Schizosaccharomyces pombe: one gene and its partners. Changing the gene in region 4 together with the main gene of any one other region gives a genetic interaction. Each region holds a gene or a part of one and is shown on either strand. Other genes may lie near its edges.

The links.
Region 1: mutations in nup132 (region 4) and nup131 impair growth when combined (synthetic growth defect), as found in Schizosaccharomyces pombe (one study listed by BioGRID).
Region 2: of nup132 (region 4) and ulp2, a mutation in one rescues a mutant of the other (synthetic rescue), as found in Schizosaccharomyces pombe (one study listed by BioGRID).
Region 3: of nup132 (region 4) and ulp1, a mutation in one rescues a mutant of the other (synthetic rescue), as found in Schizosaccharomyces pombe (one study listed by BioGRID).

Annotation. Positions count from the first base shown.
Region 1 is NC_003423.3:972,438-978,618, forward strand, and holds nup131 (nucleoporin, WD repeat Nup131), read right to left. Parts: upstream 4,410-6,181; 5' UTR 4,196-4,409; coding exon 2,735-4,195; intron 2,701-2,734; coding exon 2,607-2,700; intron 2,566-2,606; coding exon 2,180-2,565; exon of another isoform or gene 2,141-2,179; coding exon 1,786-2,140; exon of another isoform or gene 1,745-1,785; coding exon 612-1,744; 3' UTR 585-611; downstream 1-584. Other genes in the region: serine/threonine protein kinase (CK1 family) Cki2, read right to left, coding at 1-11; ilv1 (acetolactate synthase catalytic subunit), read left to right, coding at 4,672-6,181. UniProt on the Schizosaccharomyces pombe protein: Functions as a component of the nuclear pore complex (NPC).
Region 2 is NC_003424.3:1,763,602-1,768,539, forward strand, and holds ulp2 (SUMO deconjugating cysteine peptidase Ulp2), read right to left. Parts: upstream 3,133-4,938; 5' UTR 3,111-3,132; coding exon 3,090-3,110; exon of another isoform or gene 3,044-3,089; coding exon 2,988-3,043; exon of another isoform or gene 2,930-2,987; coding exon 2,736-2,929; exon of another isoform or gene 2,655-2,735; intron 2,588-2,654; coding exon 1,741-2,587; intron 1,672-1,740; coding exon 1,567-1,671; intron 1,566-1,566; exon of another isoform or gene 1,513-1,565; coding exon 1,276-1,512; intron 1,192-1,275; coding exon 735-1,191; 3' UTR 632-734; downstream 1-631. Other genes in the region: transcription factor TFIIH complex ERCC-3 subunit Ptr8, read left to right, coding at 1-600; erp2 (COPII-coated vesicle-associated protein Erp2/3/4), read left to right, coding at 4,186-4,818.
Region 3 is NC_003423.3:2,365,208-2,369,726, reverse strand, and holds ulp1 (SUMO deconjugating enzyme Ulp1), read right to left. Parts: upstream 2,633-4,519; 5' UTR 2,611-2,632; coding exon 904-2,610; 3' UTR 664-903; coding exon of another isoform or gene 537-663; 3' UTR 534-536; downstream 1-533. Other genes in the region: pdc2 (topoisomerase II-associated deadenylation-dependent mRNA-decapping factor), read left to right, coding at 1-272, 311-481, 537-663; arrestin-related substrate adaptor for RhoGEF, Art1, read left to right, coding at 3,997-4,519.
Region 4 is NC_003424.3:2,775,373-2,781,700, reverse strand, and holds nup132 (nucleoporin, WD repeat Nup132), read right to left. Parts: upstream 4,414-6,328; 5' UTR 4,331-4,413; coding exon 4,147-4,330; exon of another isoform or gene 4,091-4,146; intron 4,083-4,090; coding exon 778-4,082; 3' UTR 648-777; downstream 1-647. Other genes in the region: serine/threonine protein kinase (CK1 family) Cki3, read right to left, coding at 15-84, 151-285; tRNA 2'-O-methyltransferase Trm13, read left to right, coding at 5,125-5,450, 5,530-5,566, 5,618-6,328. UniProt on the Schizosaccharomyces pombe protein: Functions as a component of the nuclear pore complex (NPC).

The DNA of each region.
Region 1 (6,181 bases), on a different chromosome or scaffold from region 4:
TGGGAATTCATGATAAATAACCCTGTCACAAGGAATTGACCGAACAGATAAAATTTTTTTTATTGCAAGGACTATGCAGTTTTTATGTAGTCAATTTGTAGCCTCACTAACAAATGCCACACAAATCTCAGTTTGTTTTCACTGCATTCACCACAGAGATTGAAGTCCAATTGCGATTCAGTAGCCGACCAAAAACAACAAAATTTAGAAAACCAATTACTATAATTTAATAGAAGTTACAGGCTTTCTTTCGACTAACAAATGATTATGTGGTTTGAGTGTTTTAGTGGACGTTAGTTGTAAGGTGTACTTGGATGCAACACACTAGGCCTTAGCTTAATTTCCAACGTAAGGGTGAGGCTATCCAGGACAGGGAAAAAGCCCCGAAGGCGCAATCATCATAATAAATCAAGAATCTATAATAAAAAAATTTAATTATTTTAAGCCGTAAATATTCTAACCAGTGATTATCTAGCATCTACCATCGTAAAAACGGAGTTGTCGGAGCTGAGGCTATACGATAGATTATACAAACATAAGTAGTACTAGGTTTAAACAGGTGTTTATCGATTACTGAGGAAATGTAAAGTAATATATAGCAAAATTTCATTTCATTGTTTTGTTGCTACGTCCAGAAGTTTCGGAATCAGAATGTATAACTCTCTATCTTTACATAGTACTGAGAAAATTTGCTTTTCACGAAAAAGCTCCATTTGATAATCTTCCACTTGCGACTCAGAAAGTGAAGAATATACACTTTGCAAAAAATTTTTTTCCGATTTCAAGTAATGTTTACTTTCGTCGTGAATATTGTGTTCCATATGTTGTAACCATATTAAAAAGTCTGATTCTAACATAATTTCCTTTACCATTGGAAAAAATGAAGATTCTAAATCTTCATGCGCATCGATGATTTCTGCCCAGTTCACCTGTAATAGAAAACGGCGATATACGAGATCTTTTAAGTAAAAATACACGTCCTTAGTGATTGTAGCTCTTTCTAATAACTCTAAGGCCAAATCAACTTCTTTGAATGAACATTCCCGTAATGAAAAAGAAGAAAAGAAATCTACCATCTCACAAAGCGTAGTGTATTCGTTTTGAATTAATCGCTCAACAGCACTAGACACGAGCCAGGCTCTGATAGAGTTTTCTGATAGATTTACACAATTGGAAGTTACTATTGCTTCGACAGCTTCTCCCTCGTCTTCTGTAATATCCACAAGTGATGAAAGCATTTCAGCATATTGCTCTTGAATAAGCAAAATGGCTAAATGATTTTCAATCACCTCAGTCTCATTTGACAATATGATATTTTCACCTTCAATTCTATTAGTCCATGAGTAGAGCTTTGCTAGAGCTAACTGCGAAATTTTACCGATAATCCTGTTTTCTTCTGGTTCACAATCACGGAAAAGAATTTCGGAGGCTCGTCCATAATTTCCATTTTGAGCTTCAAATATCCACAAAAGATTCAATAAATCATTGGCTTCAAAAAAAGATATTAAAAGTGATTGATACTCCAAGAAATCATGAAGCAAAGACGCATACTGCTCTGTATCAACCAAATAAAAAAAAATTACATCTGCGAATTCTTCTTTGTATTTATTTAAGCATGCTTTTTGCTTTTGAAGCTTAATGGTAGGATCCTTTGGATCTAGACAATCCAGCAAAATTACCATTGTCTGAAAGTCTTTAACTTTTTCCGCCAAGTCGATTGCCTTTTCCAAATATCCGACAGAAGCTTCTTTGTTAGCGGAAACAAGAAAGTGAGAAACAGCTTACCTAAATATTGTAACCATTCTTTTCGTGAATTGCCAAATTCTTCTTCAAATTTTTGAAAATTATGCGATTTTACTATGGTATCATCTGTTCCATTGTGCAAATCAAAGATCAAAAGGCAATTTTGTTCCACCAGATGCAAAATCTGCTTCCGAAGCTTGTTACTGACTTTTAATATGTGTGCATCTTTCGAGTCACGTACATCGCGATGCAATGATATCGAATCTTCGATCTGTTTTCGTAGTAAATCTAAGTGATCAACTTCAACTGTCCAAAGGTCGCTTCTAATCACAGAGGATGGATCAGTAAATTTTGATATTTTTTCTTGCCTATAAGCAAGCTCATTTCCAAAGATAGTCTAATATTAGTAAACCTCGTTATTTTATAAGAAACATACCCCATAAACGTTATTAACATTTACTATTACTTCAATTCTTTTTTGTGCGTTGCTAGCATCTTGGCCAGATATTTGAGAATATTCCGAGCTTAAATGCTGTAATAACAAATTTATATTCAGGCACTTTTTCAAAAAAAGTTCATCAATATTATCATTTGAAGACATTATTTTCAATACTCGTCGAAGCAAGTTAGACATTTTTTCATTACACATCAATAATTCATATAGGTCTGCCAAAGCACTGCAATAGGCAACTTTTAGCCATAATTGAAGTCTATTAGAAGGAGATAAATGTAGGTATTTGAAGGCAACAAGAACTATTTCCATCAAGTCACGTTGCTGAGAATGTAGTGTTTCTAATACAGACATATTTTTTTTACATGGCGCTGATTGCAATTAGTAATATATCATGAAAAAATTATCTTACTCGTATAAAGTTCATCACAAAGATTAAAGACTGTATTATAGACTTCGCTTTCAGAGAGGTTGTATGTAAAGTCAAAATTTAACAAAAATTGTTCCTATATGTTAGATACGAAAGAATTAACAACTTACACGGAACAAAGGGCTTTGCGATGCAAACTGGGAGAGACGACTTCGTAAATAGGTGGTTGCACTAAAGCTGGTTTTCAGGTAGCTAGCAGAAGATTCAATTCGGATTATACCATGCCCTTCTGTTAACAAGATCAATGCTGGAGTTTTTAGTAAGGTGTGCGTAGATTTTTCATATATCGCATCTTCCATGCCAAAATCCAAAACCCGAGATTTGGAAGTTAGGTTGTTCACAACCAGGTTTTCTTCGACATAAAAAGTGCCTTCTTTCCCTCGCACTTTATGAAACATAGCAAAAGTGACATCGAAGACGCAAAAAACAACTGTACCTGGACTTGGTAAAAATATTCGACACACTGATGGAAGAATTGCAGAAAGATATGAGCGTACATGGCAGAATTGTGAAACATGAGGTATCATCTGATGGTTGAAAGAAATAATGATTGCAGCATAATTGAATAATGAAGCATTATCACGCCAGGAAACCAAACAAGCTAACGTATAAGGATCCGAGGTTGAAACAGAAAAATCAAGGATTAGAAATCGATTTACGTAGGAAAAGGATTCCTGAATACTATCTAAAATTATATCATAAATGTCAAAACCACGTAACAAGTGGTGATCACCAGTCCCGAATATTTCCCAAATTCGCAATGTGCTTCCAGAATGCATAGAATAAACTAATCTCTCACCAGGTCCTTTTATTGAACCACAACGTATTGGAATAACTCTTCCTGAAGTAAATGCAAAGATACTGTTGTATAACGACAGCAAGCAGTTGGGGATGTGCAATCCAGGAAATAGGATTCGAACCTGAATAGAGGAATTGCCATCGCTATCTTTTAAATTCAGATGAAGCAACCGACCTGAACTCAGAGTAAGGAAAAAGCCAGCAGGCTCAGCACTAACCAAATTTTTACAGCTTTCATATCGTTTTAGTTGAATCCTGTAATGAAGAAAACCAGGAAATTCGGGAGCAGAAACCTCAACGTTCATCAAAGAAGTTCTTTCCCAGTAGAAAAGGTCGCCCGAAGCAGGCCACAAAAGTAAAAAGCCAGGCTCTGCTGATGTTGGATCTGGCTTAACAAATCCAGCTAACGGTGGGCTATTTAGACTCTGCTGATCTAGAATACCCGTAAAACGTTCCCAATCAAAGCATATTAAGTTTTGGGGCTGACTTCCATAACCAGCAATCCATGCCTTTCGAACTTTGACACTAATATACAAATAATATTCCAAAATAGAGTCAATTAGTCCAACAACTGGCGCATCATGGATTGTAAAATTGCCAACCTTAGGAGCAGATATTTGGAGTATTTTGTACAAGTCATTTGATGCACAGACTTTCGGGTATTCTGAAGTAGCTAATGTCTCATGTTTGTTTCCGTCGGCAACTTTTTCATGTTTTCCTGCAGGCGTAAAAGCTTTTTCATTTTGAAAAAACCGTCGATGTACAATAAACATTGCAATTCCTCTAATAAGAGGCTCACTAATGTTTAAAAAAGCGAAAGTATCTAAGATCTCTTACGTGTTAAACAGATTATGCTCAAAGATAATTCTGACGATTTTCTAAGCTGAATCGATAGGAAACTTATAATTTAGGATCAAGAAAAATTTATTTGACGTTTTCCAGCATTTACTAATGTTTAAAAAATTAAGGAGACATGGATAAATAGATAAATTGTATTCCTACATCATCTGAACTTTTTAAAGAATAATAACACGACTTCAAAGGGTATAGTATTATGCATCGGTATATTTAATCTCCGGGGTACAGTACTTATCGTTAACAAATCTGATCTTTTTTGTGGTGGTGAACAACCAATGTTTTTAGGCAAAAATGAACCTGCTCACTTCTCATACCGCTCAGCATACCGATCTTTTGCAACTTGAAAGATAGCTCTTTCTAGAAAGGAATTGAGGGTTAAAAGTTATTTATAATGACTGTGCTGGCTCCCCTTAGAAGATTGCATACGAGGGCGGCTTTCTCGTCTTATGGACGAGAAATTGCCCTTCAAAAGAGATTTTTAAATTTAAATAGTTGCTCAGCTGTGCGGAGGTATGGCACCGGCTTTAGTAATAATTTGAGAATTAAAAAATTAAAAAATGCATTCGGTGTCGTTCGGGCAAATTCGACCAAAAGCACCTCTACAGTGACTACGGCTAGTCCTATAAAATATGACAGCTCGTTTGTTGGAAAGACTGGGGGTGAAATTTTCCATGATATGATGCTCAAGCATAATGTTAAGCATGTATTTGGTTATCCAGGTGGTGCTATCTTGCCTGTCTTCGATGCAATTTATAGATCTCCTCATTTTGAATTTATCTTGCCAAGACACGAGCAAGCTGCTGGACATGCAGCCCAAGCTTATTCCCGCGTTACTAAAAAACCCGGCGTTGTATTGGTTACTTCTGGACCCGGTGCTACGAATGTGATTACCCCGATTGCTGATGCATTGGCCGACGGTACTCCCCTAGTTGTATTCTCTGGTCAAGTAGCAACCAGCGCAATTGGTAGTGATGCATTTCAAGAAGCTGACATGGTTGGTATTTCTCGTTCATGTACTAAATGGAATGTAATGGTCAAAGATGTTGCTGATCTTCCCCGTCGTATAGACGAAGCTTTTGAGATAGCTACTTCTGGACGCCCTGGCCCTGTATTGGTTGACCTTCCCAAAGATGTCACTGCTAGCGTTTTGAAGGAGCCCATTCCTATACTGTCTTCTGTACCATCAATGAATCGCAGAATGAAGGAAGTCTTAGAAGAGGGCTCCAAGAACGTTACTGCCAAGATCGATCGTGTTGCCAATTTACTAAAATTAGCCAAGAAGCCTGTGATTTTCTGTGGGCATGGTGTTTTAGCTAATCCCGAATGCCCCACTTTGTTACGCAAGTTTAGCGAAAGGCTGCAAATTCCTGTTACTACTTCTTTGCTTGGACTTGGTGCTGTAGATGAACGTTCTGACCTTAGTTTGCATATGCTCGGTATGCATGGTAGTGGATACGCTAATATGGCCATGCAGGAAGCCGATCTTATCCTTGCTCTTGGTGTTCGCTTTGACGACCGTGTCACCGGTAACGTAAGTTTGTTTGCTCCTCAAGCACGTCTTGCTGCTGCCGAAGAGCGTGGCGGTATTATTCACTTTGATATTTCACCCAAAAATATCGGTAAGGTCGTACAACCTACTGAAGCAATAGAGGGCGATGTATACGAATCTCTAAAGCTTTTAGATTCTGCTACTAAAAATATTAAAATTCCTTCCCGATTTGACTGGTTATCTCAAATTCAAACATGGAAGGAACGCTTCCCTTTCACTTTCACTCGTAGCGCTCCTGGTGAATTGGTAAAGCCTCAAGAAGTCATTCAAGAACTTGACAAACAAACTTCTGACATAAAGGACAAAGTCACTATTACCACCGGTGTCGGTGCACATCAAATGTGGGCCGCTA
Region 2 (4,938 bases), 1.0 Mb from region 4:
CAGTATAATGAACTTGTAAATACCATTTTCCTTTCTAAAGTTGGTGATACGTCTATTGATCTTCCTGAAGCAACCTGTTTGATTCAGATTTCTTCTCATTATGGTTCTAGGCGTCAAGAAGCTCAACGTTTGGGGCGTATTCTTCGTGCCAAGCGACGAAATGATGAAGGCTTTAACGCATTTTTCTATAGCTTGGTATCTAAAGACACTCAGGAAATGTATTATTCCAGTAAACGGCAAGCATTTTTAATTGACCAAGGCTATGCTTTTAAAGTCATCACTAATTTAAAGGGTATGGAGAACTTGCCAAATTTGGCTTACGCCTCCAAAGCGGAGAGACTTGAGCTTTTGCAGGAAGTATTGCTACAAAATGAAGAAGCAGCTGATTTGGATGACGGTGAGGATACTAGCTTTGGATCCAGAAGTCTCTCTAGAGCACCGGCGAAAGCTAAACGTTCTAGTGGTTCTTTAAGTACATTGGCTGGTGCCGACAATATGGCATACGTGGAATATAACAAGAGTGCTAATAAACAGCTGAAAAAGGACAGTAAAGAACATCATGCCTTATTTCGGAAGCACCTGTATACTAAACGTCGCTAGCGAAGTTATACATGCTAGCATACACACGATATAGACATGAATTTTGTTGATTTTTCTACGCTAAAATTTTTGATAATAATGCTTTCGTTAAGTTTTAATATGAAATTATGATTTCCCTAATTCCCTTGTAAATTCTAATTTGTGATTGGCAATATTGCCAAATCATCATCATTTTCTTTATCTTCTTCATCGTTGCTTCCGCTGCTAAGCGATTGTCGTTCATTGTTAGACGACCACTCAGTTGACAGACGGCGAATTAAACCCTTCAAATCGCATCTCATCGTGTTAATCTTTTGAAGGTTCCACTGTTGGTCGAAGTTTTTAGCATCCGTCCGTCTAAGAGATTTATCTAAAGTATTGGCTATCACTTGCTCAGGAGTTTCAAGAAATAGTTCGACGAAATGTAACGCATATATACCACAATCAGAAAAATTGCTTTGTTGCGGGACTTTTGCATGAAACCCCCGTATATCAGTGGACTTAAGATGTACATTTTTCCTTTCGAAAGCTTCTTCCAGTAAATATTCACGTAAGTAATTTAATGCTCCTTTATGAAGATTTGCTAAAGAATCAAAAATCAAAATTGCTGGACTATAATTAACTTAGTAAACTGAATCAAATGATTTATGATATATTTTTCCTTTTAATCAATAAAATTGTAAACCTTTAACATACCTATTGCTCGTTAATTCTGCTTGTCTAGTCTTTGAAGCAGACGGTTGTTCCACAGACGACATAACTATTTCATCCTGCTCTTCCAGTTTTGTGTCCACAGGCATTAATCGATCAATGTTGCAGATAATAGCTAGATACCAATGAAATGTTTCATTGATAGGAACAATAATGTATTTTTTATGGAAAAGGTCAACTTTTTGAGTCCACTTTCGAACTCCTCTATGACCTAGCCGCTTGCTATATTACCCATTAGTGATCAAATAATTGATAGAAGTAAAGCCTGTTACATACCCATCTTTATCTTTTGAAGTAAGACGATTATAGAAAAATGTGTTAAAAATATGAGTGTCATTGGCCAAAGAAGGATTTTGTGTTTGTAATTTACAGTATAAATATCTAAATTTTTGAGGTTAAAAGAAGCGAAGATTCCAAAAAAAAAAAAAAAAAAAAAAAAAAAAAACTTACCTCAAATAAAAATCAACAATAGTATCGTTTAAAAATTCTCCCTCATTGAGTCTTGTAAGGTCGGTATTAGTAATGGCAATTGAATTTGTTCCAGAAAACGGATATACGAGAATAGTGGTACAAGATGCATCAGACAGAAGTGTTTTATCAGAACCTTGAGAACATAAAGTTGAAAAGTCATTGGAAGTGTTTCCAGCAGAACTTGATGACTGATTTTGCTCTTGAGCTCCGTTATTTGCCGTTGGACGCTCTGACGATGACTGGTTCGAATTTTTAATCCTGGAAAGAAGAGAGTCACCAGAATTGGAATTAAATGGAGTTGGCGAGGATGGAAGGGAATGTTTAGGCATTTTTGAGGAATGTGGAGACGAGGTCTGTTTAACAATTGACCTTACAGTTTTCTGGGGAGTGCGAGGGATGATCGTGGATTGTTTTAAAGTCAATAATTGTTTAAATTCTTTAGCCGAACTAGGAGATGTTAAAGAAAAGTCAGATTGGTCCAAAAGATCAAGGCCAGCTCTAGCGGATTCTACATGTAATGGGTTGTATAAAAATAATAAACTGGCAGAATCACCTATCGTAATTCTTTTCATATCTCTATTTTTTAAGGTTAAATGAATAGCATGTACTGGAGATTCCACCAAATTGTCTCTCCATCCTTGAAGCCAGCAACACCGCTTCAACAATTGGACAGGGATGTGAATGACTGGAATGCTAGTATCTGTGTAAGAAACATTTATTTCATGGGTAGTAAATTTTAAACACCCAGGCCTAGGATCGTAAAAACCTCCATAACCCCCTTTTGTGAAAGGCAGCTCGACCACATCAATTGTTTTCTTTTTTCGTGCTAAACAAAGTAGCCAAAAAGAGGCAAAAATAAGTTAGTTTTTATTTTAAAAAATCAATTATTGATACTGAAGAAGAGGAATTGTTCTAAACATTTTGCATTTCCTCATGCTTTACACATGGATCAGAGCAAAAAAGTTGCGACTTACGAGAAACCACTGTAACATTTTGAAAAGAGCGTTTTAAGTGCTTAGGAGGTGTTTGATCATCATCTATCTGCTTCCGCCTTGGTGAATCCTTCTGTATAGCAGTTCGAACCGTTGGCTTTTCCGGGGATGTTACACTATTCGCTAGCCTTTCTAGCGGGCTCTTAATAGGAATAGCATCATTTGGGCTAGTACCTCTAGATTGTAAAAATATTAATATAGGAATGTGAATTAAAAGACGAGGTAAAGTCAAACCTTTGTTTTCCAAACGGGGGAAGAAGACTAGTGAATGACCCTGATTTATCATCCAGCTAAAAAATAGTTAGTAAGAAAAAGAAACGAAAAAGAATAACATACGGCATCTTTGGAATCTCTCATTCTTCATGACATACCTGTTTTGGCGAGATAGAGAAGCCTACTACTTAATCAATGGCACAGGTTTTGTGAGCCACAGCGCGTCCAAATAAAACATAAGGATTCATTATTTTGCGGTAGATGATCTGGGTAAAACAATGTAAATAAAGGGTATCAACCAATGCAAAGGATGTAAGTATCTCTAACAGTGTCTTTAACTCAATGTAAATGAATAAAAAACGAAAGGCATAGTTGCTTTTTAAGCTGATTTCTTCCTAACCTTTGATTAATCATATTACGATTGTTTTGATTTTTTAATAACGAATAGCGAACAAAATGTTGCTGTTAACTTCCAAGAAAATGATTTTTTGTAAACTATTCTAAATTCTTTTTATTGACTAGAATATATTTTACAGATCGTTTATTTAAACTTGTATTTATCTCTGATTTACGAATGCATTAGATACATTAGTCAATTGCAACCATAGTCGCATTAAAATCAATGTAAATTATAAAAAAAAATAACAACAATACATTAAGAACAAGTAAGAGCATGGGACATTCACGCATGAAAACCTGTTTGACCTTTGTATAATATCATGAAGAAGTATAATAATACCAATATTACTTGAATATTTATTATATGATATCATAGTAAAGAAAGTTAGTTTTGAACGATTTCCTTTCTAAACTATGTTTGGGACTAGATCATTTAAAACCACCAAATTATTTTGATAATTAAGAAGAAAAACTTCTGCTTTTATTTTTCGAAGGTTTACTATTTGTTATTAGTATGCTGATGATTCTGGGTTTATACTCATTTTCATAAACAATTTTGTAAATGATTAAAAGAAGAAAAATTTGTAAAATTGTTTTAAGAGTATTTATTAAGACTAATACTCTAATTTATATTCCCAGAACGCTATCGATACTTGCCTTTTGCGATACAGCATATTCCACACTGTCAACACTCAACGTAGCAACAGCCTACTCTGCAGCTGAGCATAAAACTACTCACATATCGTAAGTGAATTTGTTTTGATACATTGGAATTAAAAGTTATATTAAATTTTTGAAGATTAACCTTACTTTATAGAAAATGCGCGTAATTACTCTAAGCGGCATAACACTATTTTTGCTCGCCAGCTTAGCTTCGGCTATTGAGTTAACATTCAAGTTAGAAAACCAAGAGAAGCAGTGTTACTACTTAGATTCTTTTCACACTGGCGAAAAAACACATTTCACGTACGCTGTTCAGTCTGGCGGTTCTTTTGATGTCGATTATATGATCAAGGCACCATCTCAGAAGACCGTTGCACTTGGCAAAAAGAGAAGACAGGCTGATGTATTTTTCACCCTCGAAGAAAAGGGTGAATATGAATTCTGTTTTGATAATCATATGTCTACGTTTACTGATAAAATTGTGACTATGGAAATCACTATGGAAAATGAACTTTCTCTTCCTGCATTAACCCGTGATGAAGCCAAAGACTACAAAAAGGACAGCATGCAAAGTACTGTTTTAGAGATCTCAACCGCATTATCTGAAATTGACCGTGTACAAAATTACTTCAAAACTCGGGAGCATCGTAATTATTCTACTGTAAAGTCTACTCAAGCCCGCATCTTTTGGTTTAGTCTTGCTGAATCTATAATGGTTGTCGCTCTTTCTGCTCTTCAAGTCTTTATTGTAAAGACATTCTTTAAACGATCTGGTCGGAGAGGTGTATAAACTGACTAGTCGGTCACCTTTCTAACAATATTCATATCTGTCATGCCTATGTATGCCTTTAATCAGTCTTAACGAAGCTTATAGCTCTATTGTTTTATTCAGGATTATATTATTATGCCA
Region 3 (4,519 bases), on a different chromosome or scaffold from region 4:
AGGGGAACATTTGACGTTAACGGTGAGCTGCCTTTGGACGTTGTTTCCGAAATGAGTTCTTTCACGCAGTTCATCATCCCTCCATTGCTCACTATTGTTAATGAACTTGATTTGGAAACTATAAATAACTTATTTTCTCAACTTCTCAATCGCACTAATGCTGTTTATTTAATACAGACGAAGATTGGTTTGTCGTTCCTTACTCTATTCATTAGTCGCGCAGAAATTTTAAAGCAATCTGGCACTGTAAATCAAAATGAAAAAGAAGAATGGTACGTTATACATGTATTTACAGCATCTAACTATTTAGGGAAAATACATTCAATGTTATGTTTAATCGCGTAAAAGGTCATTTCTCGACGGTATTCCCACCACCTAACGCTCGAGCTTATGCTGATGAATCTTATCCATGGGAATTCTTAGCAGCTTGTGCTACTGCTGCTAGCTCTGAACAACATTTTACATTGGTTTCTGAAACTAGGTACGTTAAAATATGTCTAGTCGAGTTTTTGTACTAACAAATATGTAAAAAATAGGGACAGAGTACTTGATAACATCATTACTAGCAAACGGGCACCTTCTGAAATTGCTGTTGTGCGCATCAGCAATGTTAATTTGTTTTTAAATGCAATGGGGCTCGACGCTCGTCAGCTCAGCGCTTAAGTTTGTTTATAAGATATGCGGGTATTTTTTTTTTCAAAAGCTATATTTGCTGAGATTCCTGGATTCAGATTTATTAATTAGAGTATTCCCTGCTACTTAAAAAATGCATACGCTCTAATATAGATTTAAGTAAATTATGTCCTTTTTGAAAACGCTGAATATGAAATAAAATGTATTGAACGAGAAAGAAATTAATATAAAAAACGATAAGTATATAGACAAAAAGTTTATAGCACATATTTAATAGATTTGTGCATCAATAATACTAGCTGCCATTTTGATTCGTAGTTCAGGCATATCATTTTGACTAAACTGAACAGGAACATTTCTAGATACACATTCAGCAGTTTTACAAGCAAAAACTCCACAATCATGTCCATTTCGTTGTCTTGGAGAATTGTCATCCATAAAATTTTCCCAATCTGACACGTCGACGGCACCTTTTGTTTCTGCAATATAATAGTCGCGCAACAAATCAAAAACTTTACCAGGGCTTCCGGCCAGCGAGTCCCAGTATTCAAATCGTTTCTTCGATTTGTTAATAACAGCCATACACCAGTGGACATCCAGATGTACTGGTATAAATACAGCATCCATATCTGCAATATTAACGCGTGCCTTTTTGGCCCATCTTCGAACACCCGCGTATCCACGGCGCTGCAAAGATGTATAAAAAAAAGTATTAAACCCATGTACCCGAGGTAAGGATGAATCAATTTTAGAGCGTTCCGAAATCAAATTCATGTAAAAATTAATTACCTCGTCATTTAACCATTGTCTATTCCGCAGAGTATGCAAGTCTTTAAGCGTGATTGGAATATTAAATTTGGTGATGATGGGTTCAGAAGAGGAAACAGAATTGCTTTGGTTTAAATATTTCAGTGCACGCTTTCGAGCATTATCAGGAAACTCAAGTTCCGGAATGAACTTGGGGCGAGTGGGGGGTGGAGATATTTCCAAACCTTTTAATTGTAAAAAGTCAACTTCGTTCCAATCTTGAAAAGATTCTGTTTGCTTTTCTTTCAAATCTCGAATTAGCAACAGTAATGATTTTTCATTTTGGATATCAGAAGTAACGATATTCCGCGCTGGTTGCTGATCAGATTGAACGAACCTAAAAGAGGCTTTCCGAGACGTTGAATCATGAGGACTTTTCTTTCTTAACGTAGCCGTAAAAGGAAGGTGTTTATATCTGGCGTGTTCGCTAACAACATCTAGCTGCTTGTCCGGTGTAACAATGTCAGAGTTTGGATTTGGAGAGGAGTTCGTAAAGTGCAGAGGAGAAGAAGAGAAAGGTGTAGGATTAAAAGAGTTTATTTCGTCAGCCTCAACGGAATTACCGTGGGATAATGTCGATGAAGTTGTTTCCTTAAAAACCGCAAGCTGTAACCGATTACTAACAGATAAATTTTTGGAAGACCGATGAGGTCGGGGGAAGTATCTCGAACGAGACACACGAAAGCTTGATGGAGATAATGCTTCGTCATGGATGTTTTGAGAATGCGTGTCAGAGGCAGGGGAAAATAGATTTTGAAGAGCAATGGGATCCAAAAATTTTTCATCCTTACTAGAATTTGTATATGAATGAGAAACGGTAGGTTTACTATTTCTGTCAAGAGTATTGTGAGAAGACATATCAGATTCGACCGTCACGTAACCACGTTCAGTCTTGGAATTTATGTGAGAAAACCGAGATTCAGGGGCTTTAGTAGAAGGCTCTAGTTTTGAATTTGTACTATTACTATTAGATGGTATCGCCTCGCCAGCGATGCGATCCAATTCAGAAATGGGAGTTTTTGTCAAAAAAAGTTTTGCATAAGTAACTGTACGAGAACAAATATTAACAAACGTGTTCAAAAATGTCTTTTTACGTTTCCTTTGATACTCTTCATATGTAATACAATCATCCTGACGCGTCCTTTTTGACGCATTGCGTTTTCCTATCATTCACGAGTGAATTGTAAAGGGTGAATCGCGAGAGGCTGTGACACACAACAACCTGGAAGGATGAGCGCGTTCTTGCTTACGTTGTGAAAATACCTCGTTATACGAGTATTGCGGTATTTACTGTAAACAAACTACTTTTTGTGTTTATATTACAATGTTTGGCTTTCGAGCCGCTAGCTTTGCTTGTAAGATTTTAAATTATGTTGCTTAACATGTAAGTGTCCGTTTATCTTTAGGGCCTACTGTGTTTGATTTCATTACACTAAAATCCTACTTCAATGTGGGCTATCACTACTTTTAGCCGTGAGAAGCTTACAAGTATATTAATGTAAATTAAATATCATATTGCTTTTATAAAATATACATTCATGACAGTACACTGTGTTACTCTTTTAAGCGTTTAATAAGTAAGTGGTAGCGTATCGCTACTAGTAAATTGTTTTAAGTTCTGATATATGCCCTGAAAATGAAAAGATAAATCGGAAAATGTGAGTTAGTTTTATACAAACCATTTAACACTTCCTGAAGGGATCTTTGAATGAACAGAAAGCCCTATATTCAGGTTATCCTTCAAACAATCATTATTTCCTAGATAGAAAAGAGTCGTACATCAGCAATGAATTTCCTCAATTATCGCCGGGGTTTTTTATCATACTACGGCTCATATAACTATCAAAAATTAGCATTACCAGTTGCTCTTGATTCTTGTTTTTCTCGATTTTGAATTTTTTGTTATGCATTGTCTGTTAACTATGCGTGAAATATCTGTTCTTTTAGAGATTCGTTTGATTTTTAGTAAAATAGTATTTACTTGCTTTATTTCCCTTTCTTCTGCTGCTCAATAATCTGATATCTTGCTATATTGTTTTCGTTTGAATTCAGTCTCTCTTCTATATTTCGTATATGTATGTTGCGATCAATCGTGTGTTATGGTTTCAAAAATTCAAAAATTCAAAAAAAAAGCCTTCTGCTGTAAGAATAAACATATTTTAGGCTTTCGTAAGTGAATTTTAAGTTGAAAATACCAATTTCAAAATTAGGCTATTAAAGTCATTTTAGTTTTTACTATTGTAATCAAAATGGAACTTTTTTACAACAGATACTAGCTTTAGATGCTTGGCTATCAATTGTAGGCTTTTGATTTTAATTCTATGGAATGGAAACAAAAGTACATTTTTTGGCCTAAAATTAGATTTTTATATAATAAAATATTATTAATTTCATTGCTATAAAAAGTCACTTAGCAGTGTTTAAGCGAGTGCTTAAAAGATTTTATTTAGCTATCTAGATCTGACATTGCTGCACTGAACCAACCTGTCTACCATTTGGTAGATTCAACTTCCCATAACCAGCACCAAGCCAGAGGAACTCACTAAATGTAAGAGCATGACATCCCCGTGTACGCTAATACGGCAATTTTCTCCTTTGGAGATACGTCCGTTACCACATTTGGATTTCCAAGCTGGATTTAATGGGATACCAACTTCAGCTCCAAGGTTGGTTGGTATCGTCCAAGTTCGAAGTAAAGAAATTCACCAACCTTTGGCTTTGGTTCAAATAACGTTAGAATTATGGAAAATTGAATCAGTGGTAATACCATCCTTGGGTATAAGTAATCACTTATCAGATAATAAGTGTCTGGCAAGGCAGGTTTTGTTTCCACTTCATTCCGAGCATCCTGAAAATAACATACCTCCTAATGATAATAATTATTCTATCAGCGATTTGTCTATCAAATCACCTCCACCCTCCCTTACTAGCGATTGGATAGTAGATTCTTATGCGTCTGATCAGGATAATCCTTCTGTTCATACTCATAACCGTACTACTCCACCTATCCCTCCACCTCATCTTCCTAATGCCTCTGGATCTTCGGTATATCAACCTCCTTACACTCCGTTTAGATCAG
Region 4 (6,328 bases):
TAGTGAATACTTACGCAAACCCATTAGTAGCTTATAAGTAAGGTATTCATCACGAAGTTGAGGAACCTCGCTTTTTCTGGACTCCTGTGAGAATGCAACGTTAGTACTGAAATTGAGAATCTGGATTGCTCTCTAAAAATAATTACATACAAATTTTAGGGCAATTGGCTGATTATTGATTAAATTTACACCTTGAAATAACATGCCAAAAGATCCTTCTCCAATCTTTTTACCAACGCGGTAATGAACACCAACGACGTTGGAGTGAGACGAAGTAGTTGACATGATGGTCTTTTAAATATTCCACTATGTTAAATGCAGTTTTCTTTAAAATGTTTTTGATTAAAAGAGCGTTCCGGTTTGTTAAATGTTGATGTCTTTCGCACTCGAAAGTTAAAGATGGTTACGGGTAGAAAAATGAAGTAGATGCCGCTAAAATCCACAAAGATTCCATGAAAAACACAAAGAAAGTGACAGTTCAATTATTTCGTTTACAGTTGACAACCTCAGAGGAATCCGAGGCAGCCAACACTGTACTTGGTAGTGGACAAGTAAGCAGTACTGGGTTTTCCACCGATATACCAAGCTAGCGTAGTATAAGGTTGGAAAGCTGAAAATAGATATAATGGTATACTTTCTAGTTTGAGTTAGTGGTAAACAAAATTTTATTTTAGATTCATTAGCTAACAAAATTGACAATGATCAAGGGACTCGGATGAAACCTATCTAACCAAAATTCTTTTATTATCTAATGGGTTTGTATGATTAAGATAAAGGTTAAATCGTATCGCAACTTAAACACATACTAATATAGCAAGTATTTAAATTAGTTTTTGTAAGATAATGATCCAACTTTACGCTTTCACGATTAAGTACTTTGGTAACTTCAGTCACATCTCCAAAGCGAGCGGGTGGGTAAATAGAAATGAGATTTTGAGGATCATATCCTTCAAACTTACAAGAAGAAAGCGAACCAGGTCGGATAAGTCCTTCATGAAAAAGTCCGTTTATGGTCACAGCCTCTAGAGTCCGATATAGTGCTGACATTCGGAATTGGGTTTCTATAATTGCATCGTTTTTACCCTGGGTATCCAAAACTTGGATCCAGTTGTCATGTAAAACAGCTCGTCTCCAAATGGTATTTTCATAAAATCTCTTGGCATCGTCCGTTAATCTGGTGGTTAAAAGAAGACGCAAAGCAAGATAATAGTCGGTAACTTCACCTTCTACAAGGTCCTCTCGACGGTATAAAGAAAAGCTGAGGTACTCCAACAGTTCAGTTGCTTCAACCACCTGTCCGGCAATGAACTTTTTGACTACGCGCTGCATAACCTGACGAGCGATAACAGGCGCTACCTTGGCACCAATCAAATCATCCACAACAGCTTCTACAAGCTGGTATTTTTTCCCCTGAGAACGAAGCCGTTCAACGACTGGCATAACACTTTTGGAAACCATTTTTTGAATATGTAGTTGCTCAAGCTTTTGTTCCACTAAAACCAAATCTCTGATATTTCCAGAGTTGGATGGAACTGCATAAAGAAATAATTTACTTAATGAAAGCTCAGATTCCTTTTTATCAACCAGCTTTTCTTGTTTAGTAGCCAACTGTAGCAATCTATGCGACGCAGCATCGTAGTCTCCTAACCTCATATCATGCATCCATGAAATCTGGTTGTAATCTCGAGATTTAAAAAATTGTTTCAAATAAGATTTGTTGAACCTGTCGCTATTAAGCAACTCTAATGCCATGCCATTTTCAACAAAATAGTCATATAATATAAATGCGAATTTTATACCAAAAAGATCAAGGTAATTGTTTAGTGCATCCGTGAGCTCATTGTCCTCATAAAGTTGATAGCACAATTCTACTAAAGAACGATAGTCTGAGTATTTTTCAGCGATTCGAATGGCACTGCTGCCTTTACCTATATCTGATAAAGTTTGAACCCAAAATCTGCGATTAACTGCAAAAGCTTCCTTGACATCTTGAATTTCACTAGCATCCTTACCACAACGTTGTTCTATCCATCTAATCCTTTCTGAGTACGCGTCAAAGCAAACCTCTGTCAAGGCCACTAATTGTACTTCTAAATTTGAAACGACATTTCTTAGCACCCCTTTATCCTTTATTTTAAAAGTATTCTCCACATCCGAGGTTCCTTGATGTGACTGGACAAGCGCTGACCGAGTAAGTTCAAACTGTCGACACAGCAAAACTAAAGTTTCTGGCGTTGACGTCCAAGGAACCTCTTCTCCAAAGGTATCAATACTTAGCTTATAAATCTTCTGGGACTCACGGCGATAAGCCAAAGCCGAAGATTGAATTGCCAGAATTACTTCATTAGCTTCCATAATTACATCAAGAACTTCCAATGGAAGTTCTTGAACTCGAGAACCTGAATCTATGCAAAATTCATGTGCTTGCGCTATCAGTTGATCAATGCTTTCAATATTATGCAAAAACCACTCTCTCAAAGCGTTATCCGACGAAGCACTTTGAGTGAGTCTATAAATTATGCGTTGAAAAATTAGGGAATGACTAACAGTACTAAATTCAGTATCGATAGTATTCCATAAATATCTAACAGAATTGCATTTTTCGCCCATTACTCTCAACTTGTATAGTACTTGACGATCAACATCCAGTGACATAGACCTAATATACCGGACAAGATTATTCAAAGAATTTAACCTACAGGACAGATGCTGCATTAAAGAAGCAAATAATGGGGGTAAATGAGTAGACCTTGAATTCAAGATGTCCATTCCAAGATCGACAATAATCCTTTCGAGTTCAGGCTTTTTGATGGAGCGAAGGTAATTGCAGGAAAAATCGATCGGATTACCAGGAAGGAAGGAGTAAAAAACAGCTTCTTCCAACTTGCTTTTTACGAGAGATTCGTTATTTGCAGGATGCTCCAAACTATGAACTTCTATTTCAGCGATACCAGAATAAGGGGTTGCTATAAAACATGATTCCGTAGGAATAGAGTATTTTCCTAAAACGTATTTGTAGCAAGTAGACATAAATATGCCGCCAGAGACATTAGTATTCATACGAATAACCTCTTCCCATGATGTTCTCGATACAATATCTTTATCATCCTCTTGGACGTGCACTATAATAACAGCGTCTGTTAAAACCACAAATAAAGAATTCCCTGATGATGAATAATGTAGCTTTGAAGACTCAAGAGATTTAGAAGAAAATGAATACAATGGATGAATATTCATTACCGAGGGTGAGGAAATGTCAGAAAAATCAAGAGAAATAATCATGTAACGGTAATTAATAGAATTTTTCCAACATACTAAAAAACTCACTAGATTTCCGTTTGTGGGGCATATAGTAAGGTCTAACACCTCAAGTCCGCTTGCATCGGGGCATCCTTCTCTCAAAACCTGCTTAAAAATAGGAGACAGATTCATACCAGAAACAAGCTTATTTTCCAACTTCAAATCATATATCTCTAGTAAACCAGATGCCTCAGCGACATACAAAAGATGTTGGTATGGAGAGAACAGTGGTGGGGATTTTAAAGCAATGATATGAATGCTAGGGTAGTTAAAAATCTTCATTTTCTGAAGAATAGTAGAAAAAGTACTAATATCGGAAGCAAATAATTGTACAGAAACGTCAGGTTGACCTGCAGGATCGCGCAGTTGAACAGAAAAAAGACGACCAAAATTGGTAGATATGATGAACTTCATGGGGTTTGAGCAACATAAATGCTCACATTTTTCTTTGGGGAGTAACTTTATCAAACTTTCCATTCCCTGGGGACATATATAAGATTGAGCGAGAGCATTCCCAATTGAAGTCCAATATGCTATACGACCAGAGATAGGCATTACAATCAGCAATCCAGGTTCTTTGTCAGAAGCATCAGAAGGGACGAAGGCTGTCAAGGCATTTTGCCCGGAAAAGCCATTTGAGTCCTCTTCAGGTAGCGGAAATGTTATAGTTGGAGGTTCTGCTGTTCCCAAGCTTTGACGATACGACAAAATAAAGCAAGCTTTTCGGGAATTAATTAATGCATAACCGATGTCTGTGTAGCATGATCCACTTAAAGGATGGTCTAAATTGAATAGAGATGTTAGTTACCTAGTAATGCGCACAGTGAAGAAATAAAAGCTTCGTACCGTTGATAATTTTAGAATTAAAATGTTTAAGTAGACACGAGACCTTGAAATTTTTAGATCTGAGCCAATCCAATGAATTATTATAGGCAGTGCTATCCAAAAGCGATTTCTCAACAGAAATTCGTTTCAAAGGGCTAAAAGATACGACTTCTTCATTTTTCCTTTTACCAAGGATAGAACTCATGACTATTTGACGATATCAGTACTGATACTGGCGGTTATCGTCTATTTGACTCCTTAATACCCTTAGGGATAGAATATGGCTCTGAGAAGGACGAATGTCGACGATTCCTACAAAGAAGGGTTTGAAATCAAAAGAACTTTACTTAGACTCCTATTTTTTACTCAGAATTAAATAGTTAAGCTACTGATAAGAAATTCAGAGTAAAATCAATATATCAATATTTCAAAATCGGTGTATATGTCATATACACTTTTTTCACAAATGTCAACACAGTTTGCTCTTTTGTAATTAATTATTTCTTTGCTTTGGTATATTTAAGGAAGTGATACTTAGGATATTGTCTTTTCCCGGAATGTTGTATAAAACAGAGGTTTTTAAAAAGTAGTTGCGTTCTTCAAGGTCAAGCTTAAACTACTTTTTTAGAACGCATGATCAATTTATATAAATGTTTCATGATTCCGTATTTGAATTTTTTTTATGAGCACGCCAATGGTTGGAAACATCAGATTTCTTCGTAAAATCGCACATCTGGTACAGAAAACTATAAAAGTAGTAGAAAGTTTGGGACTGGGTTGGAAACAACTGTAATAAAGAGAAAAACGCGAAAATACTTTATTTTGAAGTGTCTGAACTGCCGAATCGGAAAGCTATTTTTCATTAGTGTTGTAAATTATCCGAAGGACTGAAAAAGACCAAATTTTACAAGAAAAATAAAATTATTGTATTTTAAGATTTACTTTTGTGATCAATATTCAGGCTAATATCACTTAAGAGTTAAAAAGTTATCTAACTTGATGGCACGAATAAAAAAAATTTTTACTCAGGAAGAATTAAAACAAATCCCCTGTCCATATGATCACAAGCATACAATTGTGCGACATCGTTTAGAATATCATTTGAAGCGTTGTAACGCGCGTCCTGTTGAAAGGACCGATCCATATTACAAGAAGGACATAAATATCTCTACTTCAACAGATGCTTCAGAATCTTCCTCCTTTGAAATCGTCGATTTAAGCAAGGAAGAGTTGTCAAAATGGATTTGTTTGTTCAACAGAATTAGTGATTCTTTACCGACTCCTCAAAAAAAGGTGTTGTTTCACCCGGCAATGAATGCAAGACTGTATGTACGAAGTGCTTTCTCATTAGCTTTTTATTAAGAAGATGGTTGCAAAAGTAGAAACTAACTTCATTTTTAACAGTGAAGAGGGTACAAAAAAAAAGCATGCAATTCAGCAGGTATGTTCGACATGATTTCTTAACGGCAGTCAAAAGCATTAACCATTTTAGGCATCATTGTTAGGACATATGGAAAAACTACATTATTTTGACAACCAAGGATCTATATATTACGAATTCGGTGCTGGAAGAGCCGAGTTATCAAGATATGTTCAGCACTGCTCCCAACAAGAAAACGTATATATACTTATTGATCGTGATTCAAATCGAACGAAGCATGATAGCAGGATATTAAAAGATAGCATCAAAAATAACTGGCCTGAGCCAAAAATTATAAGGTGTAAAATTGATATTAAGGATTTGAAACTCGATTTTTTTGCTAGTGAATTTCGGAATAGTGGTAAACCTGTATTTGCATATTCTAAGCATTTATGTGGTGCTGCCACAGACCTTACCTTGAATTGCTTAAAGTCCTCCCCTCCTAATGCTCTTGTAATTGCCCTTTGTTGTCATCATCATTGCCGATGGAGAACACTTTCAACCTTTGCTAGAGAACAATTAAGTCATTGGGGAATTTCAAATCCACAAGAGTTTCAAATATTACGACAGATGACTGGGTGGGCTGTAAACAGTTTGCGTGAGCATATGCATGCTTCTGGAGGAGCCGACTCACACATCAGTGGTCTTTCTCATGAGGAACGCGTAAAAATTGGGTTGAAGTGCAAGCATATTATCAATTACATGAGAAAATTAGAATGCGAAAAAATGGGTTATGAATCTTCTCTCGTATACTACGTTGGTGAAGAAACGACTTTAGAAAAT